Linked DNA regions of Drosophila melanogaster. The protein of the gene in region 2 purifies or fractionates together with the protein of the main gene of each other region. This does not show direct contact. Each region holds a gene or a part of one and is shown on either strand. Other genes may lie near its edges. The genes, in order: hpo, Cka, Strip and Fgop2.

The links.
Region 1: the proteins of Cka (region 2) and hpo purify together in Drosophila melanogaster (affinity purification with western blotting; 2 studies listed by BioGRID, with this or other methods). This does not show direct contact.
Region 3: the proteins of Cka (region 2) and Strip purify together in Drosophila melanogaster (affinity purification with western blotting; 4 studies listed by BioGRID, with this or other methods). This does not show direct contact.
Region 4: the proteins of Cka (region 2) and Fgop2 purify together in Drosophila melanogaster (affinity purification with western blotting; 2 studies listed by BioGRID, with this or other methods). This does not show direct contact.

Annotation. Positions count from the first base shown.
Region 1 is NT_033778.4:19,492,356-19,499,771, reverse strand, and holds hpo (hippo), read left to right. Parts: upstream 1-2,915; 5' UTR 2,916-3,023; coding exon 3,024-4,311; intron 4,312-4,368; coding exon 4,369-5,090; 3' UTR 5,091-5,776; downstream 5,777-7,416. Other genes in the region: CG15120 (uncharacterized protein), read right to left, coding at 1-153, 1,434-1,612, 1,706-1,970; Rep (Rab escort protein), read right to left, coding at 5,897-6,297, 6,355-7,416. UniProt on the Drosophila melanogaster protein: Plays a key role in the Hippo/SWH (Sav/Wts/Hpo) signaling pathway, a signaling pathway that plays a pivotal role in organ size control and tumor suppression by restricting proliferation and promoting apoptosis.
Region 2 is NT_033779.5:8,027,628-8,034,816, forward strand, and holds the start of Cka (connector of kinase to AP-1), read left to right. Parts: upstream 1-3,093; 5' UTR 3,094-3,212; exon of another isoform or gene 3,213-3,948; intron 3,949-4,432; 5' UTR 4,433-4,630; coding exon 4,631-5,014; intron 5,015-7,189. Other genes in the region: CG7367 (uncharacterized protein), read right to left, coding at 1-312, 387-549, 611-752; baf (barrier to autointegration factor), read left to right, coding at 1,981-2,106, 2,189-2,335.
Region 3 is NT_037436.4:3,320,540-3,330,555, reverse strand, and holds Strip (striatin interacting protein), read left to right. Parts: upstream 1-1,684; 5' UTR 1,685-1,686; coding exon 1,687-1,857; intron 1,858-1,929; exon of another isoform or gene 1,930-2,113; coding exon of another isoform or gene 2,114-2,305; intron 2,306-2,372; coding exon of another isoform or gene 2,373-2,696; intron 2,697-3,002; coding exon of another isoform or gene 3,003-3,203; exon of another isoform or gene 3,204-3,213; intron 3,214-3,843; coding exon of another isoform or gene 3,844-3,924; exon of another isoform or gene 3,925-4,291; intron 4,292-4,519; exon of another isoform or gene 4,520-4,918; coding exon of another isoform or gene 4,919-4,954; coding exon 4,955-5,856; intron 5,857-5,919; coding exon 5,920-7,630; 3' UTR 7,631-7,646; intron 7,647-7,713; 3' UTR 7,714-8,072; downstream 8,073-10,016. Other genes in the region: CG14961 (uncharacterized protein), read right to left, coding at 1-414; Gtpx (glutathione peroxidase homolog with thioredoxin peroxidase activity), read right to left, coding at 2,114-2,305, 2,373-2,696, 3,003-3,203; CG12016 (uncharacterized protein), read right to left, coding at 8,840-9,811; Dpm2 (Dolichyl-phosphate mannosyltransferase subunit 2), read right to left, coding at 9,905-10,016.
Region 4 is NT_033779.5:6,941,198-6,947,914, forward strand, and holds Fgop2 (fibroblast growth factor receptor 1 oncogene partner 2), read right to left. Parts: upstream 4,093-6,717; 5' UTR 3,937-4,092; intron 3,873-3,936; 5' UTR 3,800-3,872; coding exon 2,852-3,799; 3' UTR 1,981-2,851; downstream 1-1,980. Other genes in the region: ihog (interference hedgehog), read right to left, coding at 4,556-6,717.

The DNA.
Region 1 (7,416 bases), on a different chromosome or scaffold from region 2:
TTGCGGTATCACCGGGTGTATCTTCTCGCCCCCGGCCAAGAGGAGATCCGTGACCCCCTGGCGGGCATAGGTCTTGTAGGGATGTTTCGTCTCCGCCAGTCCGTCGAAGAAGAGCGGCAGATAGAGGCTGTAGTCCAGCTTTTCAATGTCCACCTAGGCGAGATACGGGAAGAGGTGACACCGTTGGCGGGTCAAAGGTGAATAGAGCCGCTCCAAGTTCGAAATTGGTTCGTGTACCGGCGGTGGCGCAAGTCTTGCAAGTGTACATTTGCACGCCATGCCGGTTAGGCGCCCTAGCTGATTTCCATTAAGATGCTCTTTGTTTGCTTACGTTGTCAGTGGAAAATTTTTAGAACACATCGAGAAATGGGCCTGTACCTGCCTATAGACTTTGCAGTGCTAAGTCTAGACTAATCTTTGTTCGAGAGTCTGCTTTGAGTATAGTTACCAGCTTAGCTTAGTTGATTTGAGCTAACAAAGGGTTATAATATAACCCACTATCTTAACCAGATTGTATTGCATATATGACTGAATGACTCAGAATAGGAATTTTACTTTGATTTTAAGAAGACAGCAACTTTATATTTAAGTCAAAGGCGACATCGCTGGCATCGCAGCTGCGTGAGCCTCACATATGGGTTTCCCCAACATCGACCTTCGACCCCGTGACGTAAATCAGGCAGTGTCACTCACATATCACTCTCCTGTCACGACGGCATTTCGGCCTAGATAAACAAACGCACCACCCAAATGACATACGCCGCATATGTGGACTCCACATCGAATATGGAGTGCCATCCAAGGTCTGTGACATTGAACCAGCCAAAGGGGTCACACACACACTCATGCGAGGTGGGTGGGAATTGGTTACACATAACTTTCCGATTGCAGCGGAGTTCCATGGGAAATTGACTGACAGTTGGACGGTGCGACGTTTTGAATGTCAGTAGTCGCATTCCGGACGGAATCGCTTGCCCGTCAGCCGTGGAGCTCTACTAACTCCGGAAATAGACAATGGCATATTATTTACTCGGTTTTTGCTTTCACCTGCAACACTTGAAATAATTGGACACGCAGGTGTACGAAACTCGAGCTAAATTCAAATATGGGCTTTGTCTATGGGTCACCGAGTGGTAAGGTTACCCCTTTCTAGTGACAGTCGTGCAATTTCATTTGATTTTTATTTGCATTGACTCACATTTGTATAGTTGAAGTTTAAGTTTGCCAACAGACATATGGAAAATTCTAGCTATGGTTACAAAAATAAATCATTACCCGAATGTAAGGGCTTAAAAAGAATTAAGTTTAAATGTATGACCTATCCAAATTTCGAACAATATAACTTAATACCATATATATAGTATAATTAATAAGTCAACTAACAACGAACCTAATGGAATTTAGCGCCCTACCAAATAATTCCCACCACTCACCGTCCATCCGATTTTGTCGCCCCCGCAGAGGTACTCCATCTTTATGGGCAGGTCGCCGCGGTCAAAGTACATTCGGAAGAGGGTTCCTCGTCCCGGATCATTAGCCCCACCGGTGGAGCAGCCATTAAGACCCATGCCCAAGTTGAAGGTGGACATGGACTTTTGTTGGCGCCTCAGAACTGAAAATCAGTACAAATGCAAATGTGGGCAGGGATGTCATTAGGGAAACAAATACCGATGGGCGAAACACCCAAATAAACAAACTAACGCACTTTTCGGATTGGGCACCCGACTCCTGGCACTGGCTGTCTTGGGGGCGGTTTCGTGGATGGGTCCGTCGATGACGACCGTGTTCTTTTGCTGCGACTGAATGGAGAAGGGTGGAACGTAGCGCGGACGCGACGAGACCGCCGCTCCATGGATGCCGCTAAGTGGACGCAGTTGCGCCGGATTGGCGGACTTGGAGCGCGTCGGCCTGTGGTAGTCGTGCGTGGGACGCCTTGCCGTCGCGGTGCGTGCCGTTTGGGCCATGGCCATTTCCGGTTGATGCGACGATGTGCAGCCACGTAGTGTAAACAGCGAACTGCCGAGCGAAGGAATTTCTGTAGCCAGGCTGGCACTCCTGGTGTTGGCGTTGCTTTTGCTGTTGCTGTTGGGTGTCGTGTCGTTTCTATGGAGCACGTTGCTAAGGCCTGGGGCGGCTTAGTGACCGATAAGCCAGCAGTTGGAGCTAAAGCCGCTTGCTCGCATTCGCTGCGGTGCTCTCTTCCAGTCGCATTTGTTACAATAACAAGCCGGTTAGCCTTATAGGCGCCAGTTATGTTGTTATTATCATTCGACTATGCACTAACCAAAGTCCCCGGACTGCATGTAGATTTCCCAAGCACTTTTATTGGGCATTTCAGGTCAGCGAACTCATCGGAATGAAGGGGATCTGGGTTTTCTGGGGGCGCAACCGCAGATTAACAACGACAAATTGGCACAGCTCATGTCAATCATGCCAACATTTTATTCTATTTGATGAACAACAACAATCGATCCATAAAAGCAATTTAATTTTATATACAGAAGTAATAAATATTAAAACGTATTCAAAGTGAAACAAATTACCTAAACAACTTAATATTATAAATATTATATGTTAATCAGAATTTACTAAATCTTTTTAATCAAAGTACAAAGTAAATCGTCATAAATCTAATCAATAGCCATGAGAAAAACATAGAAATGCCATCATCAAGCAAAGATTTCAAAAAAGAGGTAAGCATGCGTGAGTTGTAAATTTAATTTTAACCTTATAATTCTGAGCCAATAAATTAAGTTTTAAAAAGCGCGCCAAGAGAACTTATCGATAAATGGCTAATTCTGCTATGCAGCACTGGTGCTTTGTTTACATTCTGCGGTGTTCGGCGTTTGTCTGGCAACGCCGCACCTGTTCTGTGCGGGTGGCGTGTTGCAAAGTGCCGAGGGCACTGAGAACTACTAGTGTTGGCTAGCGATCGAGTGCGAATAAAGAACAAAAGTGTGATATGTCGCTGTGAATAGCCAATTATCTGTGTTTTCTCGTGCTAAATCAGAAAATTTTTCGCAATGTCTGAGCCAGAGGTGACCAGCGTTGTAGATATGAAATCGCCCAACATATCCTCCTCCTGCTCCTTCTTCAAGCTGAAGAAGCTGTCGGAGGAGTCGCTTCTGCAGCCGCCGGAAAAGGTCTTCGACATTATGTACAAGCTGGGCGAGGGCAGCTATGGATCAGTCTACAAGGCAGTGCACAAGGAAAGCAGCTCCATTGTGGCCATCAAGCTGGTGCCGGTGGAGTCCGACCTGCACGAGATTATTAAGGAGATATCCATTATGCAACAATGCGACTCGCCGTATGTGGTGCGCTATTACGGCTCCTACTTCAAGCAGTATGACCTGTGGATCTGCATGGAGTACTGTGGCGCCGGCAGCGTCTCCGACATTATGCGTCTGCGCAAAAAGACGCTGACGGAGGACGAGATAGCCACTATTCTGTCGGACACTCTGCAGGGCTTGGTCTATCTGCATCTGCGTCGCAAGATCCATCGCGACATCAAGGCGGCCAACATCCTGCTCAATACCGAAGGCTATGCTAAGTTGGCCGATTTCGGAGTCGCTGGTCAGCTCACGGACACAATGGCCAAGAGAAACACTGTGATCGGAACGCCCTTCTGGATGGCCCCCGAGGTGATTGAGGAGATTGGCTACGACTGTGTGGCAGACATATGGTCATTGGGCATCACCGCCTTGGAAATGGCCGAGGGAAAGCCCCCATACGGTGAGATCCATCCCATGCGAGCCATCTTTATGATTCCGCAGAAGCCACCACCATCGTTCCGGGAACCGGATCGCTGGAGCACAGAGTTCATTGACTTCGTGAGCAAGTGCCTGGTAAAGGAGCCAGACGACCGGGCAACGGCCACTGAACTGCTGGAGCACGAGTTCATACGCAACGCCAAGCACCGATCGATCCTAAAGCCTATGCTTGAGGAGACCTGTGCCATTCGCGAGCAGCAACGCGCCAATCGCAGTTTTGGGGGCGTGTTGGCTGCTAGTCAGGCGAAGAGCTTGGCAACCCAGGAAAACGGAATGCAACAACACATCACGGACAACGCGTTTATGGAGGATCCAGGTACTCTGGTGCCGGAGAAGTTCGGTGAATACCAACAGAGCTCAGCCTCAGATGCCACCATGATAGCGCATGCAGAGCAAGGTGTGGATGAGGGCACTTTGGGGCCGGGTGGACTAAGGAACCTGTCCAAGGCAGCTGCTCCTGCAGCGGCCTCTTCGGCAGCATCTCCTCTGGACATGCCGGCAGTTGACAGCGGCACAATGGTGGAGCTGGAGTCGAACTTGGGTATGTAAATGATTTTGAAAGGGCTGGCCATTTGTTATTGTATTGTCTGTTATTCAGGCACTATGGTAATCAACTCCGATTCGGACGACTCCACAACGGCCAAAAACAACGACGACCAGAAGCCGCGAAACCGCTACAGGCCGCAGTTCCTGGAGCACTTCGATCGCAAAAATGCGGGAGATGGCCGTGGCGATGAAAAACCCATAGCCACAGAGTATTCTCCGGCAGCAGCGGAGCAGCAACAACAACAACAACAGCAGCAGCAACAACAACAGCAGGATGAACAGCATCTGGCAAGCGGGGCCAACGATTTGAACAACTGGGAGCACAACATGGAAATGCAGTTCCAGCAGATCTCCGCCATTAATCAGTATGGTCTGCAGCAGCACCAGCAGCAGCAGCAAGTTCTGATGGCTTATCCCCTGATGAACGAACAACTCATCGCGCTCAACAATCAACCGAATCTGCTGCTCAGCAACGCTGCGCCAATGGGACAGCAGGGAATACCGGCAGCGGCTCCAGCTCAACCGCCGCCCGCATATCAGAATCAGCATATGCATACGCAATCGCACGCCTATGTTGAGGGTGAGTTTGAGTTCCTCAAGTTCCTTACCTTCGACGATCTGAACCAGCGGCTGTGCAACATCGATCACGAAATGGAGCTGGAGATCGAACAGCTAAACAAGAAATACAATGCCAAGCGGCAGCCAATTGTTGACGCCATGAATGCAAAGCGCAAACGCCAGCAGAACATCAATAATAATCTGATTAAGATATAGGTAAAGCAACTCACAATTTCGCAAGACAACTGATTATGAAATCTCAACTCACTCAATTGCCTCTACATTGGGTTAAGTTTGCAGATGAATACTGAATCTTACAGACCCATCATCTGTATCCTCTAGAAATTATTCGTGCATTGTGCAAATTTAACCTGGTGGAAGGGTCTAAAATCAATCACAAGAAATGAAAACACAAAAGCTTTATTGTAAAATGCAGTGAAAACAGAAAAGAGGAGTCATCGGCAGTATCTTCCAGCACGAAAGCATATTTTCTGTTAGATTTCATCAAATTTATGCTTGGTTTCTTATATCCTAGCTTTCATTGATCTGTCTTTTAATATAAATAGGTATGCTCGAATAAAATTTATCTTGCGTTTATTGTAGCTGCCCGTATTGTGAACTGCCCAGGCCTTATCATAATTTAATAAGACTTATAATATTCGTTCTTCCTTGGTAACTATTAACCTTTATCTCTAAAACACTTATTTTCTGTCTTCGTGCGATAAAAACAGTAACCCGTCAAGCAATACTTATAAAGGAGAAACATTTTTATACGCATTGGAATGCATATTTTTCGAACATATATTTATCAAAGCAAAATGCACAGAAACACTCACATTTAAACATTTATATATACCTAGTACTTTTAGCAATTATAAATAATTTACATAATAAATATATAGGAATATATGAATCAAAAAATTGCATACAATATATAACTTATTCGAAAGATACTTAAGAAAATTTTGTAATAAGTAATGATATATGTAGACCAAGGAAACCTCCTTTTTATTTTAGTATGACTACTCTTGTATATCCATTTCCTGAGTTGCCTGCTGCATGTCGTGCAATTGTGCCCGCAAATCTTCGGGCAAAGTGTGCTCGTTCAAGGCACTAGGGTCTTCACCATCCACGACAATCTCCTCTGGATCTGGGGCTCGTGGCAAAAAGTCGGCATCTGGGAACATTTTGCCAAATATGTCGCGAGCATTGGCAATGGCCGCGTCATAATCCAGCTCGTAGGTAGGTGGATCGGTGTAGTAAATATGCTCGGCAGCGGGACTTTTACTAGACTGGGCAGCAATTGTGAAGTATGAGCTAAATATTATTTGTGCGTCTGATTGATCGAAGAGTTGGCTAGTGAAAATGGCTAGATCAGACGCTGGATCCTCGCTCAACGCTGGCGTGGTCAGATGGAAGATATCTGTAAAAATTAATTCATTAAAAAGGAATAATTCACATATTTTCTTAAGTTTCTTACATAAACCCTCGGGACAGGCTCCCGTGTAGTGCGACAGTTGTATTAGGAAGGCTTCCCGTCCACCTTCATTGTCAAGTAGTCGAAGAAGATTTACACCACCACCTCCCTTGTTCAGCTCCTCATTGCCCAGGGGACTGGACGATATGAACAAGCCACGTGAGATGTGCGGCTTCAACTCGATGCCCTTTGAAACTGGTGTATAGCCAGGGGCAGAGACCACATTCTTGGCACGCAAAGTTTTCCCTGCGCTGCTCAGCAGGAACTCATTCGAATTGGAATCTAAGGCAATGTCGTCAACGGCTCGCTTTAGGCAGTAAATGCCACCATAAACAGCGCACAAACGGCAGAAGCACTGCGGCAATTCCCCGCAGCCATACATGGGAAAGAGAAAGGGTGTGTTGCCATAGCGGCCCAGACTGCCCAGAAATCGTTGTGTGCGCTGCATACCCTCCTCGAAGCTGGTGCTGGGGCCGCACATGGCAATGGCCTGCATCACGCACGACGATATCTTTTCGGTCACCCGCTGCGCCTGCAAATATTCCAGAAACGTTCGTCCCCGGAATTCCAACGAGTCCTCGTTGCACTTGTCCTCGCCGTAATCGTTGCAGGCGGTGAGAAATTTCATCAGCAAGCGCTTTTCCACGATGGTCAGTGTTTTGGTGTTGAAGACATCGCTACGGGAGCAGGGCACGGACACAATTTCACCATTGTGGCGCATGCACACATGGTCCACGGCTCGGAATTCAGCATAGCGGCAGATGTTCGACTTGATGAGCAACTGCACCAGCTCCCCGGCTGCGTATAAAATGCGCGGGCATAGATCCAAGCTGAAGCGTCGCGACTTGGCCAGCACTGAGTCCCTATTCCAGGATTGTGCATCTGTTTCTGATTCTTTTTCCATGGAATGCCAGGTGTACCTTGCGTTTCGCAATGCAGAATGAGGCTCGACTTCCTGGTCCAAGCGGGCACATAGAGCATCCATAGAGAAGGAGCTCCAAACATCCCCGTAGTACTCATTACTATCCAGGTGGAGCACCGATTTGCCTATCCTGCTGCCCGCAG
Region 2 (7,189 bases):
AGATCAATTAGCTTGGCCACCGCCCGTCCCACCTGAACCGTATATCGCGCCGGTGTTAGATAGTATATATTATCCGCCTGATCCTTCCAGTTGATGGCGAACACGTTCACCTGGCCACGTTCGATATAGGCACCACGAATCGATTGAATCGAATTGCTCATGGTGCTGGACTTCCAGCCGTGAACGAGTATCTTGGTGTCCAGTTCCGGATTGAATTTCTCCGCCATCTCCTGCCAGGTGTCTCGCTTGTGGCGCTGCGGAAACTCAAAGTTATTCTCATCTATCCAGAAATCAGCACTGGAACTGGAGTCGCTGGAATAAAAGGATTCAAATTGTGACCACTACGAAAGATAACTCTTCAAATCAAATAAAAAAAAACCACACACCTTCCGTACAGCTCGAACTTGATGAGCTGTGGCAGATTGATGCGGTTTTCGGGCGGAGGTTCCACCAGATAGGCCACCTCAGGCTTACCCTGTCCATTGGGCATGTAGATCCAGGTTTTGTTGTAATCCTCCTGATTTAGAGCCACCTCACCACGAATGCCAACTAAAATGGAGCAGAAACTTATGCTTAGAAGGATGGCTAAATCGAATTGAAAACATTTTACAAAGCAGCAGCACGGGTCGCACCACTTGGGCGAGGGCAGCGAATCCGGTGATGAGCCACTGCACCACCACAAATGTGGTGGACACCTCGTTGCGACACGGATTGATCACATTACAGATGCAGGCCAGCGCATTCGAGGACATCTTGACCAGCTAAACGTCGATCTTGAACTGATCGGACGCCGGATTCCAAAGATCGGAGCTCCCAGCTCCCAGTTTCCCAGCTTCCCAGATCCAAGCTCATTAAGGCGGCTGACGCATTAGTAATCCTCGAAACCGGTTCCAGCCCAGCAATTAATTTGTGGCCTGGAGCGTTTTAATTACTCAGCATCAGTGTGCGCGCGAATCTCGGTCAGGTGAGACAAAGCCACATATGTATATCCGTTTCCCCGTAACTCCCAACTCACCCATCCAACAACTAAGGGCCAGGCCACAAAGCCAGCAAAGCGCTAACATCTCTGTACCAAAGTCGACGTCACTGTGCCACGGGAATCGGGTGTGTGGATTTTATAGCGTACGATAAGCTAGACGAGGGCCAGGTGTCAATCAAGACTGGAGTTTTGGACGGACTGCTGGCCAGGTTGAAGCCTCGGTCGGAAGGGTCTCGGCGTTATCATTCCAACTCAGTTGGGCGTCCCAAGCGCGGCGCTGTTAAATTGGGTTAAGCCCAGTTCATCGGTGCATACTAATCTAAGGTGCGTTGCCCCGGTATTGAAAAGTGGAACAATATAAATATTTGAAAATATGTTCGGTAATTTAGTTAAATAAGTTACAATAACAATTACATTTTTATAAGTGTTTTTATGAAAAATGCTACATCTTATGTACACATAGATTAAATATTATTTAGATTTTCAGCGATGGCTATGTAAATTTTTCACAAATGCAATACTTTAATGCACTAACATTATAACAAATTTCAAATTTATAGAAAACTTTAAGTATTCAAAATCTAAAACGGTCATGTAAAATACCATACATCAAACCATGTAAGCATACATCTTACATGTAAAATATTGCTGGCATTTGACCTAAGTAGATTAAGTAGATTACAAAAATATGTAATCCGCAATTTCAAAGAAACATTTTTGAGTGCATCTTATAAAACTCTATTTTTTGCCAATGCTATGTAAAAGAATAATTAAACTTTGTTAATTGTTGGGTGCGCAAATGAGTAAAGCCAGAATTACGTGGCCTATTACATTGCCTAATTTTGTTTAGTATATCTAGATGTGTTGTTGCATTTTCGAAAATATCACTTGCTGCCACACTGGCTGTGCGTCATTTTCAGAAACGCCGCGAATATTTTGCCATTGAAATCTAGCTAAGCATTGGAATTTCGCAACGTGCAGCAGCAAAGCAAACTACAAACATGTCGGGCACATCGCAGAAACACAGGAACTTCGTTGCGGAGCCAATGGGCAACAAGTCGGTGACGGAACTGGCCGGAATTGGGGAAACCCTCGGTGGACGCTTGAAGGACGCTGGATTCGATATGGTGCGTGTGTAAATACGATGACGCCATGTGCGCAAATAAACAATGCCAGTCAAGTGCTAACGATCATTTCCATTCGTTTTAGGCCTACACCGTTTTGGGACAGTATCTGGTGCTGAAAAAGGACGAGGAGCTGTTCAAGGACTGGATGAAGGAGGTGTGCCACGCCAGCTCCAAACAGGCATCCGATTGCTACAACTGTCTCAACGATTGGTGCGAGGAGTTCTTGTAAGAGGTGGACACACAAGCCATCCGAGTAATTCGATCAAAAGGAATCTGCTAAAGGCATCGGCCAATCATTTTTATTCGCAGTCAACGAAAGTGGCCCAATGCTAGCTAAGCATTTGCCGTGTTCACTGTTAGTATGTATAGCTGTAGGGTGTAATTTAATGTCTAATCCGAATAAATGTACAGTCATGGAAACGATCCTGCATTTGGATCTCTGTTCTGCGAAAAGTACAGTAGGTGTAAAACATTTGTTGCTGGCCGGCGAAGCAGCCTAATGCAGATTTTTATTAATTTGATTAGGGGACAACAATAAGCAACACTATAGAAGGCAGATCGGTTGGCGACTATATCTTCTCTATGTTTTCGATTGTTGGCGAGTAGGAGTCTCTGACTCGCTGAAATAAGCCTCTGTCTTTTTGATGTTTCTTTATCAGCGGGCTGATGTCGCCTAATTTTGAAATCTATTTCTTTTTGTTTTTCGGAAATGATCTTTTATAATGATGGACTTAGAACCTTTTAAATCCCAATCGCTGTTTTGTTTGGGGATTATGTGTAAGCGGTTAATATATATTTTATAATGAAACCCCTTTTGTCAAAATTAATTGTCCTCGAGTAATTAATTAGTACCGAGTATTTGATTATAAATACAACTTTTTTTAAATAAAAATATATATTTTTAAAAACTTATTTTTAAAGTGAGTGGTATTAAATAGGATTTCTTTTCCCTGAAGTGGTATCATATGGTATTTATTTTTGGTCCCGTGGTATTTTTTATCGTTATCGGCGCGGTCACGCTGCTAAGAATTACATTACGCGTGAATACCAATGAAAATTAAGAGAGAAATTGCAAAACACAGCCAAGCGGTGCAATAAATCGCAAAGTAAGAGGCGCAAAACGCGCAAATACCGTTTGCGCGGTTAAAAAATGCAAAAACACCAAACGATAGATTAAACAAAGTGAAATTAACTCGGCTTTGGCATATGCGAACACCAGTGTGCCAGTGTGTGTGTGTTTTTCTTTGTATATAGACTCGCAGAGCGAGACGGCCATACACGACGGCAGACGGGACGGTGCAGGTGCGCGAGTGCGAGCGGGAAAAAGGCTGTGCGGTCACTGCTACTCTGTGTGTTATTTCAGAGTTACAGGCCAAACATTCTGATGTGCGGCCGAATCAAATCGACTTTTTGTGTGCATCGCCCCAGCGTTCGTCTTAATTAATTAGTGATTGCAAGCGGGTGCAATTATGCACAAAATTACGGACTAATACAACTGCCCGCTTCGCGCTCTCTCCATCTCCCTTCCAAATAGTCGTTTGCTCTTCGCACACAAAAGTGTAAACCCTGTGAAAGGTAGCAACAACGTTTCCTTGGAAAAAGCTGTAAATAGTAAACAAAATTGTCAAGTTAACGAGCCAAAGTTATTAAATAAGGTTCGAGTACGTTGGCATCGGCTGCCCAGGCAGCAAAGAAAAACAAAGACGCAGTTCAAGATTCAGCTGGACACTTAGAAGAGTTTAAGAATTGAAGCACAAAAAAACGAAGAGAAACAAGAACCCCACCAAAAACCCCGCCGTGCGTTTGTATGTGTGTGTGCCATTCAAATTTCCCTGCAGCTGGGTGAGTGTGCGTGTGTGTGTGTGTGTCAGTTTAATTTTCCTACCAATAATCGCCTTTCCAAGACGTGATTACCAGCCGATCCACCGCTTAAATTGATAAACGTTTTAACTCTTGCGTTACATCAGCTGTTTTACGGCTTTTTGTGCTATAAGTTACGCTTTTCCCGTAAGCCGTTGGCAACACTAGAACGCAAAAGAGAGAATCGCGAGTACCGTAAAGAGGAAGAGAGAGAGATAGAGAGTGTGAGCGTGTGAGAGAGCGGGGAATGTGGGGGCGGTTCCGGTGCGAGAAAACGTAGTGTAGTACATAAAGAGAGTGCGAACGAGAGGGAGGCAGCCAGCGAGTGTCCTGCGACTGCTCCCCCCTTTACCCTCGTCGCCCTTCTATTCGGAAAATTCAATGACCTCATTTGTTTCATGTGCCGAACTTTGCTTTTCTTTCCCAACCTAAAAACGCAAAAAAAAAAAAACGTAACACCAAACAGGATATAGCGTAGGACCAGTGAACAAACAAGTCCGAGAGAGCGACAAACAAAGGACCGTGCACTGGGCACCTGAAGGCAGACAGCTGGCAACGAATCAGGAGAGGATCAGGAGAGCAGGATCAGCGGGCACAAGGATCACCGGAGCAGGCAAAGGAAACACCTGGCACACAGCACAGCCACTGAGAGCGACGTGAACCAATGGGCACCAATTCGGGAGCCACCGCTGGCATAAACAACAAGCCGGTTGGCGGTGCAACAGGAGCCGGCGTCCTTGTAGGCGGCGGTGTGGGCGGTGCCAATTCCTCGATCGGCGGTGTCCTGTCGAACAGCCTGGGCGGTGGCGGCAGCGGCGGTCTGAGCATCAGCGGCCTCAACGCTGGTGGACAGAACGCCAATGTGGGCGGAATGGGCAACGTTGGCGGCGACGACGGCGGAAACGGGATGGTGGGCGGCGGTGTAAATAACCAGCAGGCCACAACGCCCCAATACACAATACCGGGCATCTTGCACTTCATCCAGCACGAGTGGTCGCGCTTCGAGCTGGAGCGATCACAGTGGGACGTGGACAGGGCCGAATTGCAGGTGAGTGATCCTTAAATACTGAATTGCTAATAGCTCCTCTTTAATATTCGATTAATCTCGTACTTTGAGATAGGTGAATCAGAAAATCAGCTTAAGATCTTAACAATGTCCTTATTATTAGTTTGAACATTGATTTAGTTCTCATCCTCCACTATTTTATTCACTATTGATTAAGTAGGTACTGGACTCACGGACTACAGTAAACTTTATAGCGTGAACTTTGTGCAGATAGTGACAGTATAGTGCTTAGTATAAAAGAACCAATGAAACTGCAAATTGTTTGTCCTAGAAAGAATACTATGCAACCAAAAGCAAGGCAATTTGGCAAGGCCCAGGGAGTGCTTAAAAGGTCCTTGCTTATCGACAGCGGTGGCTCACTTTCCATTTCAATGATTTTCCGAGGCGCTAATGCATGAACATGCAAGGAAAACGGCCAGGAGGAGCCACCACACCGCCTTGCCTCCGCCATGTCCGCATGCAAGCGAATCGAGTTGAGCAATTGCCGTCATCGAGTGTTTATGCTCTGTTTGTCGCAGACGAATGGCCAAAAAGCCTGAAAGCCCCCAAAAAATGTAAAATGAGTGTAACCGCGGGTTGGATAACATTATCGTAATTTCGAAGGAGATTACTCCACCTCCAACCTGCGCCACCCTGCGCCTCCATGGCCATCGTCAATGTCAATGTCGACCCACGCTCTATCGCTTTCACCTGCCAAGTGGCCAGATAACGAGCGGTATCGATAACGAGGCACAGTCCGTTACGCTCTGAATGCAACGTGACATTCAAATCCGTCTCTTCCCCTGCTTTGCATCATCATAATGTGGAAAAGTGGCCACAAAAAAAAAGGAACCAAGTTGACAACGCAAATTTGTCGCCGCGATTTATGAACCTGTTCGCCTTGTTTGGCGTTTTTGGCCAAAATAAATCTGGTTCGGGTGGGCAGCAGAGGCAGAGGCGACGCCATCCGAGATGGCTCTGTTTCAGCAGTCGTAGCATCCGTTCCCTGCCCGGCCGCCTGGATCTATTTATATACTTCCATATGCACATCGCAAATCTCTTTGTGTGTCAGTGCCGACTGCTGTGAATGCAGCAACGTCCTTGTCGCAACGAATCTCAGTTTTGCCGGTCTTCCCATGAATGCATCCACTTCCACTTCCTACTCGGTCGGCTTTTCCTACTGTCGCGTTTGTCAGGCAATTAACTTGCACTGTGGTCGGAAACTCTTTATTTAAAGAACATTTACGTTTCTATGTTGAATTTCAATCAGATATGAGGTAACAAAAACAAAAAAGCGAACATTTAGGTTCATCTTATACTATCATTTATAACTCTTTAATGTTTAATGGCATATTTACCTTTAAATTATTATCAAATTCTTGAGAAATGATTATTTGTGCTTCGAAAGCACTGTAAGCAAGAATGACGCGGCAAATGCTAATATATTTTCAATCATTTCGCCATTGCAAAAGCATTTGTTTGCAAATGCATTTACAGATTAGAGAAACCAAACGCCGCTGGCGCTCTTGTCATATTAATAATTCTATTTATATGTCCTTGTGTACAATATGGTCACTTCCCCAACAGCATTATGCAATGGACAATTCCAAGAGCAGCCACGTAACCCCTTTGGTTAGCCAGCATTTTTCAAAAATTGTAAAGCGAAAAATCTTGGAGCTTCTCCGCTCGGGCTCATTAAGTTACAAATGCGCATTTGTCATGGAATTCGTAATTTCTAATTGCGAATGAAAATAAAAAGTAGTTGCATGTCGCGGAGCGATTTGTGTAGCAGCTCCATAAGGCGTTGGCGTGTGTGTTTTGTTACCTTTCTGGCCCTTTTGCCTTCGAATATCCGGAATATTAGCGCGCTGCTTTTAATTAGCCAGCTTAAGGAGCCAAATGAAATGCCATTGGGCGATAATTTAAATGCACAACATGTTTCCATTAACAGCAACAGCACAAAGAGTACCCCACTCACTCCTCCTCCTCCTCCTCCTCCTCCTCCTCCTCCTCCTCCTCCTCCTCCTCCTCCTCCTCCTCCTCCTCCTCCTCCTCCTCCTCCTCCTCCTACCGCCCTTTTCGTTACTATTAGCATGGGCAAATTGTTATTGTTGCTGGTTCTGGTTCTGCGCTTGCCTCATTCCATACAAACATGCGTTCGCTTGCCACAGTCGCGGC
Region 3 (10,016 bases), on a different chromosome or scaffold from region 2:
ATGAGGACTCGGCGGCTGCTGGTGGATGGAGGGGCGTCGGCTGTGATTCCGGCGACGGGGCAGTCGTCCGTTCTTGGACATAGGTGACTGACCCTGAGCTGGCGGCTGCAATCCCAATCCCTGGCGAGGAGACAGCTGCTGGGGCTGCTGTTGCTGCTGGGTTTGAGACACCTGTTGCTGCTGTTGTTGCTGGGACTGGGATAGCACCTGCTGCTGTCGCTCCTGGATGCGTTGAAACTGCTGATCCTCATCCCTCTGAGGACCCGCCCTCAGCTCGGCCGGAGCCATACCATCGACGTACTTCACATCCGCCGGATTTGTGGCCGGTTGCTGTGCAATCGAGATGTTGACATGGGTGGCCGCATCCACCTGGCTGCAGGCCACCAGCAGGAGCACCAGCACTCCTCGGAACATCCTGTTCTAATCCTGTTACCAATCCGAAGTCAAAAATCCTAGCTGTGTGTCCAATCACTGCTGACCACCACCAAAGCTGACCGCTGTCTGATCGATAGTGGAGTGTGCTCCGCATATTTATACGGATTTTGGGTGGATTCGGAATCAAAATTGGGGGAGCGATCGCATTCGCAATCGCGATCGCGATCAGTGTCAAAGTCAACTGCAGCACTGGGAATAGCAATGCATACACACTATGGCGACAATAGCTTCGATAGCTTCGCTACTGACCTGGGCCAAACTGTTTAGGGATGAGTCTCAGATGCTTAACCTAGTTCTACAATTAAAGGCATTCGAGCGATCGCATTTGAGCGATGATGCATTCAACAAATTGCTGTCATCGCTTCACACTTGTGTGGCACGCACCAGCACTGAGAGAAAAGGGGCCTAAGTTCGTTCATATATCACAGATATATCATTTAATATGCGATTTTATTAAAATAATTTCTTGGGAAAATTTGGGAAAAGTTCTTTCGGGTAAAAGAAGCTAATCCAATAGAGATCTTTAATTTCGCTCCAGCTCATCAGTTTGGTTTTTCTCCGCCTGATCTCCACTGCGAATTTCGATGGCATCCGTAAATGGTGAGTGCAGCATTTTCATGTAATTGTCGGAAGGTCGGAGTCGCCGCTCCATTGGCAGCTGGTTTGAACTTGAAATCCGGCCGAGACGTTGAACTGCTCCACTGGAGGAGGAGCAGCTCGAGATCGGCGCCCCAATGGGCTGACGGATTCGCATTTGTTGGTTTTGGGGGTGCTGGTCAGGCAAACTTGCGCAATCGAAGTTTGGCGAGCATTTGGCGAACACTCGGAGCACTCGAATTCGGAAAGAAGGTAAAGGTTAATGTGAAGTACTTTTGCTTCTTTCTGCACTTAAAGTAACCACCAATAAGGTCAAATTGGTAAGGGGGAATATTTTAAAACAGATATTGCCTACTCACAGAAAAAGTAACTTTTCTTTCAAAAATATCTAAAGGATATTAAAGCAAACTTGTTTTGAATATCATTATAGAGAAAGGCAAATATGGGTTTTAAAATCTAAAACTCAGACTAATTGATCAAGGTCCTTTCAAAGATTAATTAGTTTTAAAACAATGCGAGCTTTCGTGGTCATTAAGTTGAACAAGTTTTCAAAAATTGTGCTCTACCGTTGAAAACATCATACCTTTCTTTTGTGAATTTCGTTTTTCCCTTAATATGACATCTCCAAATTTCACAGTCACCTAACAAATATATATGGCTTGGAAACAGAAAAATAAACTCCTTTTTGACACTTGTAAAAACCAGTTAAGCTGTGGCGCCGTAAACGCCAGATCCTCGATGATGCAGTCCATCCAGTCTAGGATCAACGTGCTTAACACCATTGCTGCTTCCAGCAAGCGGATTGAACGCGCCAGCGTTGACACGGTAAGTCCGAATTGATACAGTTCCAACTACCGATCAAAGTACGTGCCCGGCGTCGCCAAACACCCAGGTGATAGTGTGGTAACCACGAATGGCGTTTATTATGTTTGCGGGTGGGAATCAAAACCAGTAAGGAGTAGACAATATATATACCATGCGGTGCATGTGGCCGGCCACAAGACTATCTGTGGCCAGACGGTTACAAGCTAAAGCTACGCGAAAACACAGTCCAAAAGAGCAGCTAACGTCTAGGGCACATCTACAGCAGCTTTTCAATGTCCTTGGCGATGTCCATGGGATCGGTGGTCGGGGCATATCGGTTGATGGGCACGCCCTCCTTGTTCACCAGAAACTTGGTGAAGTTCCACTTGATTCCGCTGCCCAGGGTGCCGGTCTGCTTGGCCTTTAGGTATTTGTACAGCGGCGCCGCATTGTCTCCATTCACATCGACCTGCGGGGGTGGGGCAAGTTTAGTGACTCGGTCTACAGCAATCGGCTAGCAGCTTTAATAGTCTTACCTTGGCGAACACCTCGCCGATGTCAGCCTTGGAGTCGCGCAGGTGGCACACCATGGCCTCTCCATCGGCCTCCGGCATCTGGGACCCAAACTGATTGCACGGGAAGTTGAGGATCACCAGGCCGCGCTCGCCGTACTTCTCCTTTAGATCCGTCAGCTTCTCGTAGTTGTTCTTGGTCAGGCCGCACTTGGAGGCGATGTTCACCACCAGGACCACCTTGCCCTTGTACTTTTCCAGGGAAACATCGTTGCCATGGGTATCCTTCACGGTGAACTCGTAGATCGAGGCGGCGTTCTTGTAATCTCCGTTAGCAGACATGTCGATCTGGAAGCAATAGAAAGTGGGAGTTAGAATTGGGTAATTACTAGTGGCTGTGAAGGCTTGGGTCGATGTTTTGATCAAGAGATATAGATATTTATAGCCTTATCTTCAATCGGGGTATGAAACACTATATTCTGTATCAAAATCGACCCAGGCTACGCGGTTCATTGCAGTGAACAGGCAACAGAGAACAGAGAACAGAGAACACAGGCAGTGGCAAAGGCTACAACGTTTAGTTAGGCGCAGAATCAAGCAACTGAGTTAGTCAACGGGTTAGGATCTAGTCAACTAGCAATCAGCACTACTCACGGCAGCTGCTGTGGAGTGCTGGGCGGCTGAGGAGATGGCGTTCATGGGCGTGGCCGCACAGCTCACGGGAAGCATGATGGTGCAGAGGCGAAGGCACTGCCTCTGACCGCGACTCAGCTCGAGGACGGGGCCAGGGGTCCGCCTCATCGAGTAGCACCTGAGGGCCTGGCGGGAAATGTTCTGAAACTGCCTGAGACTCATTCTTTAAATGCTGCAAATAATAACCGGGCAGAATGTTCAAATTTAGTGAAAGCTTAGGCAAGTGAAGGAATTACTGGTGTGGATGTGTACGTTGTGTATCAGATCGAACAACAATCGTTTCAAAACAATTCAAATGGGAAAATATAAAAATCAAGTCCACATTTCTACTGATTAACGAAATAGTTAAGTAGATAAGAGCAAGTAGTAAGTAAAGTAGTAAGATAGCTCAAAGCTATCTTATTTCCGAATAAGAAAGTGTGGAAATGTATGTGGTGTATAGATTGTATTCGACAACCCGACGACAAACATCCAAGATTATTTCACGTTTTGATAATGGGTTTCCTAATAGTTGTATGTTGTTTCATAGACATTTACGAGGGTGCTATCAGGCTTCTGGTTACAGTGACGCTGCATAATTCATCGGGGTCAAAGTCAAGAGCTATATGTACATATATGTATATCCCAGCACCCTGTGAGTCACGCAACCTAGTGGCTACGCACAGTGACCTTTAAGCTGGCCAGGATTGGCCCACGTAACCCACGACGCTGCCTCGTTACCGTCGCTGATTGCACATGCATGCCATTGTTCGAGTTGATTGGACAGCAATTTGAAGGGATAGTTAGTGTTGTGGGTAATTACTTGCATGGTGAAGTAGATGTACGATCCCAGGGCGATTGCCACGGACCCCAGAAAAAAGTGGACGATGGAGCGGCCAGCCATTACTGAGCTATATATCGACTATGTGTACGATTTCACAACGATCTGCTGCGAGTTTCGGATGCAGGGATACAAATATAGAATGCGAATGCCGAGATTCTGCAAGCTCACGCTGATATGGGCGAAAATCGGGAGCAAAGTTCAGATTCGATTCGACTGTTTTCCCTGCTCTATATACATATATTCTTGTCACCTCGACCAGCTGTGTTTTTGGGCTGATTATGCTGTGCTTAATCTCGACAGCTGGGTATTATTGTTTGGGCTTACTTATGGCGTAATAGCAATGACTAATGGAACTGGGCACTTTCTCACTTTCGAAGCGTAAATAAAACTGAAACCGGCGACTTGCAAAAACCCTTATTTATATGTGTAGGTGAAAGCACTTGTAATGTTCTGGTCTGGTCACACTAGGAGCACAACTTTTCCAGAGTTGCCAAGTGTGGTGGTTAAGCCCTACTTTCTAAATTTAAGCATGAAAGTAAAAGCCTTTAATTAGAGCTTCAAATTGTATATATCATTACTATTGATTATCATTTTGTAAACACAAAATATCAAAATGAAACAATCCCTATTCCTAATATTAGTACAAATCAAACAGAACCCTTATTTCAAATTTAAAGCAGCGGCAATTGCATCAGTCGCTGCCACATCCGATCGAACGGCCTTGCCAGACGGCCAACACCATTTGCTGTTTGGTATTTTCCGACCACACAGCAAACGGTCGTACGAATTTTCTTCTTTTTCCATTGTGCGTTTTTGTTTTTGGCGAGAAACAAATTGCAGTCGAAATTACCCAGTGAAATGCAGTGCGAATTGCTTAGTACGTCCATGTGCTACTAAGACCAAGTGGGAGAGAAAACCAGCGAGCAGGAGCAACCACGCCCACGCCAGGCGCACCGCCCACCGCCGCAGGATACACATACACGAGTAGCCCACACTCACGCACATACACTTCCACACAAAAGAGATCCCTGTGTGGCGAAAAAGGATTGGCGGAATGATGCTCACATCCATAAACAACTCCTTTGAGCAGGACACCCACGATGCGGACGCCAACTGCGACGGGCCCGACCTGGACTTCGTGTACGCGGACGTGGATGGCTATCAGAACGAGATCGCTGAACTGTATAGCTACACGGAGTTCAGCGAGTTTCAGATGAACGTGAAGGCCTTCGAGGACCAGATGGAGCTGTACGACCTGCCGCCCAACTGGCAGAAGCAGGACTCCGCCTCCCAGCGCGGCATCGTGATGAAGCTGGTGGACCAGCTGGAGGTCTCCGATCGATCCTTTCGCATGCAGGCCGCCCGGTGCATCCTTTACCTGGCCCAAGGCTGCTGGGCGGAGGTTCAGTCGGACGAGGAGCAGCACCAGATCACCAGGGACAATGTGCTGGTGCTCTACCAACTCGGCGTCTTCGCCTCCTTCATCGACCTGCTCAACATGGAGATCGAAAGCGCCTGCTCTCCGGACATTGTGGCCGTCAAGATCACTAACGTCACGCTTGTGGACTCCACGGACATTCGGGTGATCCTATCTGTGCTCTACATCATCACAGAAACGATTCGCGATGAAAAGGAAAAGGGCAGCGAAGACTACAGAGAGCTGGCCGACTCCTTTGTGCAAGAAATCAACTCACCACTACCAGATGGCGAACTTCTGGCCGTCAAGCTGTTGGGCATGATCACACGGTTTTGCAGTGGCGCAGCACCGCAGTTCCCCATGAAGAAGGTTGTCCTCCTGCTGTGGAAAGTTTCGCTGCTGGGACTGGGAGGCATGGATGTGCTCAAGAATCTCAAGAACGAGTATCGATTGAAGGTGGGTTTGGAACCCATCACCGAGGACACGCTGGAGGTTACCAAGTGCATGCGAGCCAGCTCACCGCCGGCCACAGCTACTGATATACTGGAGAACCAGTATCCCAAGCGGAACTTCAAGTAAGCGGAGTCTTAGATCACTTATGTACACTTTTCAATACATTCATTTTCCTTGCCGCACAGACGCTCCCTGATGAAGCAGCGTTTTTTGGACGAGCCCGAGCAGATAGACATGGAGATGGGCGGCAACGAGGGTCAAAATAATGCCAACAATGGCAGCGGCAATGGCGGAAACGGGGAGGAAGAACTCTCTCAGTACTACCGACCCTACGATGACCCCTCTTCGTCGGCATCCACCACCTCGACGGCAAATCCAAACAACCAGCCTAGCCTAACACAGCCACCCGCTGCTGTGCCTCCGGTACAGATCACGGCTCGCCTGCCCTGGACGCCTAAGGTGCGACAAAAGGACATTGACCAGTTTCTGGACATTTCGCGGAATAAGTTCATCGGGTATTCACTGATTGGTGACCACGAGAGTCTGGCTGGACTGCCGCAACCCATTCACGAGGGCTTTAAGACGCTGCAGCGGCACATGTATATGAGCCTGGCCGATGTGCAAATTAAGAAGGAGGAGGACATAGCTAGGAACCCCATTTCCACGCACGAGGACGAAATCAAACTGACCCCGGCTGAGGTGTTGTACCAAGCCATCCTGCCAAACCTGCCGCAGTATATGATCGCCCTTCTCAAGGTCCTGCTGGCAGCTTCGCCAACGTCCAAGTCCAAGACGGAGAGCATCAACATAATGGCCGATGTGCTGCCTAGGAAGATGCCGCTGACGGCCACCCAATCAACAAAGCTAACCGTCGACATTGGTCGGCACAAGGAGATCATTGTGAAGGCTGTCTCGGCCATCATCCTGCTATATTTAAAGCATTTCAAGATAAACCATGTTTACCAGTTTGAGTTCATGTCGCAGCATCTCGTGTTCGCCAACTGCATCCCGCTGGTTTTGAAGTTCTTCAATCAGACAATCACGGAGTACGTGAACACCAAGAACTCCATTCCTCTGCTCGATTTCCCGTCGTGTGTGATTGGTGAGCAACCGGATTTGAGTGGCGATAGCTTTGTGTATGGCGGAGAGATGTCCGATAAGTCCTACTCTTGGCGGAACGTGTTCTCCTGCATAAACCTGCTGCGCATCCTCAACAAGCTGATCAAGTGGAAGCACTCGCGAGTGATGATGCTGGTGGTATTCAAGTCGGCACCAATCCTGAAGAAGACGCTTAAGGTGCGCCACGCCATGATGCAGCTGTACGTGCTGAAGCTGCTCAAGATGCAGACCAAGTACTTGGGCCGCCAGTGGCGGAAGTCCAATATGAAGACCATGAGTGCAATTTACGCCAAGGTGCGGCATCGTCTAAACGACGATTGGGCCTTTGGCAACGACTTGGAGTCGCGTCCCTGGGACTTCCAGGCGGAGGAGTGTACGCTGCGGGCCTGCGTGGATCGATTCAACCTGCGACGCTATCCGGAAGCCACCCAGAAGTGTGGAAACAACGGCACGGCAGCTCAGAATGCGGAGAACGCCCAGCAATCCAACATGATGGCGGGCAACAATGGATGTGGCAATAATGGCGACGCAAATGGCTATGGAAACAACGGTGGCGGTGGCAATGGCGGCCACAACCAGCAGCAGCAGCTCAACGACTATGGTGTGGAGGGTGGCTTTCCCAGCGACGAGATCCTTACCCACTCGGACTTTGCCTTCTTCGGTCACTCGGGTTGGTGGGATCGCAAGGTCGAGCTGACGGATTACTTCAAGGCCAATTACGCGGTCTGGCTGGAGGAGGAGGTCTACAACAGTCAGACCGACTGGGACGCCCTCTAGGGCAGGGCTGCCATCGGTGAGCAACTGCATACCGCATGTGCCCCGTCACACTTTTATTTACGTGATTCCTTTTTGAATTACAGCTGCTCTAATATCCACATGCGCGTCATAAAAGCAAGAAGTTATTAACGTAATTGTAAGCATTAAGAAGTACATTGATATAATCCATGTAGCCCGACCACGATTGAAACACCAACTACTCACTGAATTGGCAATAATTTGGCAAGCCACGGGCCTCCGCTGCGCTCCTCTTCACTAACTAGCATACGCGAATACCATACCCATAGCGATGACAAGCCTGTATATGTAATGATTGTATTTTTTAATTTATATATTTATTATTTTACCTGTTCTGCGAGCCCTTGAAACGGATCGCGGCAATCGGCTTCTGTAGCGGAATAAACAAATTTGCTAGTTCGAAAACGACACTTGGCTTGAGGTTAAATGTCTGTTTATTCGTATGTGTGTTTTGTTTCGCACAAGAAAAAAATATATAATTCTTTTAGGTCATAGTCTTAAAGCTAGGTTTAATTTGGTAAATATACACTACGGTATTTACAAGGTGCATATATAAATATCCATTATATAGTACAATAACTTTTCGACTCCATAAAAACGCCCCACACCAAATGCCTCGTTGGGGTTTTTCTAAATTCCATGACGTAATAGTAAACAATACAATATAATAGTTAGCACAGCTAAATATGAATTCCTGAACCGAGTTTCTTCATTTCACAATCTGGTTACAAGAGCATTCTCCACAAGAGAGACCATGTCACCCATAATAACTATCTTAATACGAAATAAAGACTAACTAATAATAGTTGTATTCTAGGGCGGGTCGATTTGTTTCGATTGTTCCGTAAAAAGAAGCTAGAAACTGTAAGCAAATTGGTCGTGGAAGTTGTAGGTTGGGCAATCAAACAATCAAAATATTCTCTAAACAATACTGCACTTTTCTTTGGACTTTGCGGTGCTTAACATTTGCTCAAGTTCCAAAAACTCACATTTTTAATTTGAATTAAATAATTGATTTTAGATCATACTTTTAACAATTTAAAATCGAACCACCCTTAGAGTAGCTTACAACTATAACGTAATATGGGAATTTTAGCCACGATTCGGAGAAGTAATCCAAACAATTTTGAACCGTTTAACATCCTACTACTATACAATATTCAATTATTGTACTCTGAATCCAAGGACAAACTATTGCTCCATGGGACACGCCGACGGCATGACGTTGTTATTGCTCGGACCCATGTAGAGCATACCGAACCGTTTCTGCTGCGGCGGGCAGACGACGGGAGCAGGAGCTGGAACCTCGCAGCGCTCCTTGAAGTAGTGGACGATGCGATGAAGGACGAACGCGAGGATCTTCTCTTTGGCGATCTCGCCATTGAGGAATGTAATGTCCTTGCAGTCGCGGTACTCGCTGAAGTTCTTTTCGTAGTGCGGCCACACACAGAGCTCGAAGTAGCCCGTGACATCGGGTGGATCGTATGTGCGCTTACTGCGCCGTTCGAAGCACTTCTCATATGGCAGATGGAAGTGGTACTTAATGTTGCACAGGGCCAGCAGCTCCGGCTGGTTGAAGATCATGAATCCCTCGACCAGGAGGAAATTGACCTTCTTGTCCCTCAGCTGGGCGGCAATCTGCGCATTGATGCTCATAATGTGCTGCTGCTGCTGCTGGATTTGATGGTGCTGGTGGTGGTGCTGCTGGTGATGGGGGTGATGTCTCGGGTGCTGCTGTGGCGGATATTGATAGACCCCGCCATTGGCCTGTTTGTAGTAGTTCGCATTGTACTGGTACTGCTGCTGGAACTGCTGGGCGTAGTGCTCGAAGTTGGCATACGTCACAAGGTGCTCCTGTGGCTCGGGAGCCACATGGCGCCCCTTGATTATGTGCGCTATGTCGTTCAGCATCTTGGCCATGTCCAGCGAGGTGATGAGCTCGAAGTTGATGGCGTTGAGCGCCTCATTTCGCTGATGTCGCTTGTCCTCCACGGGCAGAAAGTAGTCATCCTGCGAGATCAGACGCACCTCGCCAATGGTGTACGGCGAGTTCCACAGCGGCGCTCCTCTCAGACCCTTGAAGTAGTCGTGCAGGCTGTGGGCTAGCGTAGTTTTGCCACCACAGGTGACTCCCGAGATACCAATGACCAGCCACTGCGGCATCTTGTCCACGACTGACTATCGCTCTTCCTTGTTTTTCAGTGGAATCGTACGTTCGCGTTCGCACCGAGCAAGATAACCCCCCGGATAACCCCCTTAATCACGTTTCACTCTCAGGCTCCAGATGTGGTAAAAGGAGAACGCGGCGATGCCGCCGAGGAAGATCACCCCGAACACGGTGGGCACAATGAAAGCGTACTTCAGCGGT
Region 4 (6,717 bases), 1.1 Mb from region 2:
ATACTTAAACATTTACATTTCGTTATCATTCACTTGGCCATTGGTTCTAAATTGAATAGCTGCCTGGTTTGATGGCTATTGTCAACGTGAGTTGGAAGTGCAGATGTAGATCAATGCCTTCGATTAATTAACTATCCCTCATTGGAAGACAGATATATTAACTCTGAGAAACAAAAAATGAAACTGATTTAAAAATTAACTTACTAAAAAAAGGAAATCAGCAAGTCGATTTAACATACATATGTATGTATATCTTGGAATTTATTCTATTTTTAAAAAGAGGTGATAATATGCATTCTTATATTCGCATTGATACACATATACAAATATTAACTTTAACTATAATTATAAAAATGTTTAAAATCTGGATTTAAATGTAACCATTGCTAAGAATACTTAAAAAATGATAAGTAACTTACTAGTTACTAGTACTATGATTGAAGAAAAAACTCCTAACAACAAAAGCTTCACATCCTTAAACTTTGACTTTTCTAATTCAATTTCAAATCATCCTTCATATCTGTCACTTCAGTCAGGCATAAACAATCGAATGGAAATGGTAAATATAAACAATAACAAATATGTATCCATCTATTTGAGTATTTTTAGAGCGATCTATGAGTAGAAAGAGAGCGAGATAAGCTGGCACAGGTGGAAGCTAGTTGCGCAGGCGATTTTCCGCCGCTTGCGCATGTTTTTTGTTCTTTTGGCGAAAATGGCGAAACTCAAACGAAAGAGCGCGATGCGAAGAGAAAGGCGAAGAGAAAGCGCGGAGCTTTCACCACTCCTTTCTCTGTGCGCTCTGCTGCTGCGATGATTGCAAATCCCTAGTGCGTTTATAAATAATTACCAGCGTTTTAACCTATTTTCATCTAAGGCGCTCTGTTTTTCGTCGGCGCTGGCACTTGCAAAATGTGTGACTTAATTTAGAACGCAGTGGACTTACACGAAATACTTCCGCATTTAGAATAATTTGCGGCTGGACGACGGGGAATGGGGCCAGCCTCTTGGATGTGGAAGTGGATGTGGATGTTGATGGTTGCGTAACCGTCGGGATTCAGTGCGTTTCGACACGGATTATACAGCAGTTTGGAGCATTGGTGTACATATGTAGATTCTTACAGGGATTGGAATCCCCAAAGCCTTTCGTTCACTTTCGATCACACACACACAAACACTCGGTTGCTGCTTGGTTGATTTAATTTTGGAATATTCACTTTATACAAAACATTTACGGCCACAGAAATTGGCTGTGTTTTATAAATAGCATAGTTTTCTTCTTGCTAAATGGCAGCGCACTTCCCATAAATCTACCCAGACGATTTTCAAATGCAAGACTCTCCGGAAATATCGTTAGATTTGGATCAATAGCTTATTATTAGAGGGATATATCTTTATATCAACCATGCGATCCAGGCAGTTTTCAATTTTTCACCCGATTCACATTCATGTACAAAGGCCAAGCACGTATGTGCCTATATATTTATATAGCTTTAATATAACCGTCGATTGCCCGAGCACTCGAAATACTTATATAGATGGCTGCCATGCGAACCGGGCGCAGTTCCTTGGCACTTTTTTTTCGGCTGCGAACGCGTTGAAAATCGACGAGAAACTAAATTTAAATTATTTCTGAAAGCTTCAACTACCTACCAGTCGTGCGAGAAAAGTGTTTTCCTCAAGAGAACCGATATTTTGGCGCAGAGAATCGATGAGAGCGATTCGAAAATTATTCAAAAATATTCAAGTCCAAGCCAATTGAAAGTTTCAGCCATAAATCTTTACGGGTATCCATATAATATTACTTTTACACTTCAGGTTCCATATTTATCAAAATTACAAAAATGTATTTGATAGAATTAAAGAAAAAAAACACTGTAACTAATAATAATAATAATTACTTCAATAATATCTATTCAAAAAATTGGTTTTCCTAATTTTCCATATTGATTAATAACCAAATTAAACTTAAACAATACAATAATGAAATTATTTAAAATTTTTTAAACCCCAATATTTTGCCTTTGGAATCTTAAGCTTCTAAAATTATAGTTATTACTGCTGTTTTTTTTTCTCATGGCAGATTCTGTTCAACTTGGTTCATTGTGTAATAAGTTGACTTTTTGAAAATTAACATGACTATATCATAAATCTTCTGCTCGATAACCATTGATAACCATTGTGGCAAATGTTAATTTTAGTGGCTATACTTTATTCATATTTAAACTCCACACAAGTATGTGTGTATATCAAGTTCTGATCAGCCTTACTCGATAAGCAATGAGTCATATCCAATGAATTATTTAACCGCTTCTCTGTTTGGCTGGGATTTAGAATGGCCAAATTTAAAAAGCCTTCTAACAAAAATATTCAAATTCATGGGAGGGGCGCATAATAGATGGGATTCTACTCGTAACATCTTTTGGGAAATAACTTAAGAATTAGTTAGCTTACGGAGTAGCAATCTAAAGCAAAGTTACATCTTATTTAAATACACTACTGAAATACATTTGTATGTTAAATTAAATATGCTCATTCCTTTGGTTATTCCCCGATTTGTATTGGAATTTATTTAGCAAACCATAAAATCGACAGGGTACATTGTACATTACATTTGTGTGGGTGTGAGTGTGTTTACCTCGTTTTAAATAATAAACTTCATTGTTCTCAATGCGTATGGACAATATGTTGAAATTCGTATTATGTATAAATTACTTAGAGATTATCAATCGCTAAGAGCTAATGCAGGTTATGTGGGCCCTCTTCGTGCGCGGCCTGTTTTGTGAGTGGGTGAGTAAATACGATTCAAATGAAGACCAAACGAATCAACAACGTTGCACAGCAGCACCTATCATGTTGCGGGCGCTACTGTCGCCTGATCCTCGACAGATTCGTTAGACGTCGTCGCTGGCGGCGGTGCACTGGTTGTGTTGACTGCAGGTCCGTTATTGTTATCATTCGCCAGCGGCTCTTCCCCCGGCGGCGCCGTCTCCAATGTCACACTTGGTGCTTGTGTTTCACTTTGACTATGCACTGGTGCAGTGTTAAATGAGTTCGTGGTGCCGGCGACTTTAGCCGGTTGCTCCGGACTGCTGTACATCTGGATAACCGAGTTGTTGTTCATGTTTTCCACCGAGGCGCCCGATATGGACAGATCGTCGGCGGAGTCGTCCGCCGTACTGTCCGTTTGCACAGCCTTCTCCTCCAGCAGGTGGTCGCTCTCACGAATCGGTCGCTGCGAGGAGCCGTACTGCTTGGAGATTTGCAGCAGCTCGCGCAGCGTTTCGTTCTCCAGACGCAGCTGGGATATGGTCTGCAGCTCTCGCTGCACGACACCGTCATCTACACTTGCAGCTAGCTGCATCACTGCTGCCATTTCGTTGATCTTCTCGCGCTGCTCCCGGATCACCTGCCACATGCGTTCGTTGTACAGCTCCTTAAAGCTAAACTTGCTATCCAGGACCTTGGAGACGGTGTGCTCGCGATACTTTTGCATCATCAGCTCCATGGCACGCTCGTAGTCCTCAATGAAGATCTTTAGCTCGCGATTCTCTTTGAGTATCTCCGAGCTGTTGATGTTTTGCTGCTGAATGCGATTCACCATGTCCGCGTTGGTCTTGTTGTTCGAAATGCGGTTGAGTGATTCAATGTCGTCCTGATACTGGCGAAGGCTCTCCACCAGCCGATTGTTGTTCTCCGCCTCCTCGAGCAGCGCCGTGCCCAGGGCGTCCAGGTCCTTCACCCGACTGGCCATGCGCTGCGCATCCATTATAATCTGGCCCACGGATAGGTTCGACATCCTGCCCAATTCAGTCCAGTTGCGATTTTTGGATTTGTATTGTTTTCGGGGGCCAGGCCCTCTGCTGCTGGCACTGCGAAAACAAAGGGAACCGCTTAAATTTGTGCACTTTCTGGGGCCTACGAGCAGTGTCTTACGTTCGGTGCGGGTAAGGTGCAGCTTCGTCCCTAGCGTAACAGCTTCATTTGATTTTCCGGCCAAAATATGTAGGAATAGAAACGATTTTAATAGAAATTTTGACGACGACCCAATTATTGGCTGACAGCTTATTAAATCCCAAACGCCATCGGATGTTGCACAAATCCCTAACGCCACTCATTGAATGCGAAAAAATACTGTTTCAACACTTGATATACCGCAAATATACCAAAGATTTAAATTATAATTTTGTTTTTTAACTTTTAGCTTGAGATGTCATTTTTTTGGCTAAATCCTTTATGTTTATGTTAAAAAACTCTTTTAAGGTTAAAAGGTGAAGCTACAAGCTTTATTGTCATTTTTGTATAGGTCATTAAGAAGCTATCAGTACAGATTTTGATCTTATCGCGAAAAATGGAAGACTTAGCGTAGAATGGACATAATGCTATGTTCTTAAACGATCATGCATACATAAATCTAGTTATGTCTATTTAAGTACCTATTTAAGTACAAACAGCAAAGGTTTTGTCATTCAAAGTGGTAGATAAAACAGAGGTAGAGGAATAGCATGGTACATCGGGCGTAGGGATGCACAGACTAAAGATCACGAGATTGCGATTACACGCCAACGCTGTTGAGGCTGCCGGAGGAGAGGTTCTCGGAGCGACTGGACAGACGGGGGCGTTTCATGAGTACACGACCCGGCTTGCCGGGATTTTCGATGGAACCCGCCTCTGCGGATTGATTTAGATTGTTGTTGTTGCCGTTGTTGGAGCCATTGCTGCCGCCAGCACGTTCCAGCGTGCGTTGTGAGCGACGCAGCGAGGAGGAGGACATCCTGCGCAGCGTGGGATCGTAGTCATAGCTCGACGGCCGCTGATAATAGGGCGCATCCTGGTCTGTGTCATTCTTCTCCTCCAGCGCCTGCTGCTGCTGCTGGGCGAGTGGATTCAAGGTTATGTGGATGTGTCGTGTTCGCTGGCGCTGCTTGGTGGGCGAGCAGTTGCCCAGCGGCACAAAGTCATCTCTCAGCTCCGCCATCCGTGGCTTGTTTGGATTGTTTCCCCGGCTTCTGGAATTCCTACGCCGGCAAACACAGAAACAGGTGCTAATCAGAAGCAGAATGAGCACTGCCCCGCCGCCGATTGTTCCCGTCAGCATGGGACTCATATTGAATGTCTCGTTATGACTGGGAGTTGTTGTATCGCGGTCGCCCATTTGCAGTGTTGGCTCCTCTGTGGTGCTGGTTTTGGGACGTTGGGTGCGCCCCTGCTTAAGGGCACTAAATTCGGATGCAGAGGCGGCACTGAAGGACTGCAACTTGAACTCGTACATGGTGGCCGTCTCGAGGGGTGCTATTTTAAAGCTTCTAGCATGGGCTCCTTCAATGGTTGCCTTGAAATATTCCCCTGCCGAGGACGAGGGTCGATAGTAGGCGTAGTAGCCAGTGATCAGGTGTTCATCCGCATCGCTGGCTAGACTCCAGTGCAGCACCACAGCGGTTTCAGAGTATTCCTCGATCTCCAGAAGCTCTGGCACCGGCATCGGATCAAGTGCTGCACCTGGCTGCAGGTAAAATTTCGCCGAGGTATTACTTTCCTTATTGTCATTGTTGGAGTAAACGGCTAGGATGCGGAAACGATAGGTGTGCTGAGGCTTCAGGTCCGTCACCGAAGCCGTGAAGCTCTTGCCCAGCTCGGAGTTCCACTTCGGTTTTCCATACGGTATATTATCGTTGGTTGTCTGCCAGTTCTTGCGCTTGCCAACCATGCGGTACTGAACCTTAAAAATGACAATTGGTAACCCATCGTTTCGGGGCACCATCCAGCGCAACATTACGGATTCATCGCTAAGTCGGGTTACATTTGGAGGAGTCGGTGGATACATCTGCTTCTGCCTGGAACCCTGATTGGGCTTGGGCCTGTGTGTACCCCCCGATTCCCGGGGTTCCTGAATCTGCTTGGGATTCACCTGCAGCAGTGTACCCGCACTGTGCTCACCAAGTCTGTTTCGTGCAAAGCATTGGACATAGCCCGCATGACGCTTCAAGACGCTGTGCAATATCAGGAAATTATTGGAGAGCTCAGCCTCAGAATCATCGATGCTGCTGTGACCGTTCAGCAGCCAGTAGATCTCTGGCGTTGGCACTCCTGTGGCCTTACACTCCAACTTCAAACGATCGCCCTCGTTGGTAAGATCGGCCCAGGGTGGTCGCACAATCTGAGGCGGCTGCTCGACATGCACTTTTATGTAGTGTTCTAACGCAGGCCGCACTCCATTATCTTGAAAGCAAATATAGGTGCCAGCATCATTAACTCGGGTGTTGGATATCTCCAAAGCGTGTCCAAATACTTTCGAACGCTTGTTCTTAACAGCTCCCACGACATCGGGACTGCTCCAGACAACCGTCGGTGGCGGTGAGCCAACTCCAGGACACAGCAGCAACAGCGAACTCCCTTCGCGTATGGTAATTTCTTGGGAGCTCGGCTGTCCCCTGAGCAAGTGTGGAGATTTACTCTCCGACCTCTGCTCTGGTGTAACCTGTAGTTGCAGCGAGCCGGGCAGCTGAATTCTCTCGCCAGAGGCAGGATTGGTTGCCTGGCAGGAATAGCTGCCTGACGACTCGGAGGATACATTGCTTAGAAAAAGATTTCCATTGGTTCCGATGAACTCCGGTTTGATTTCCACTCCGTTTCGATAGTAGGACCAACTGGCAGATGGATTCGATTGCACCTGTTGTCCGCAGGACCAGAGCACAGAGTTTCCAGCAGACACCCGCC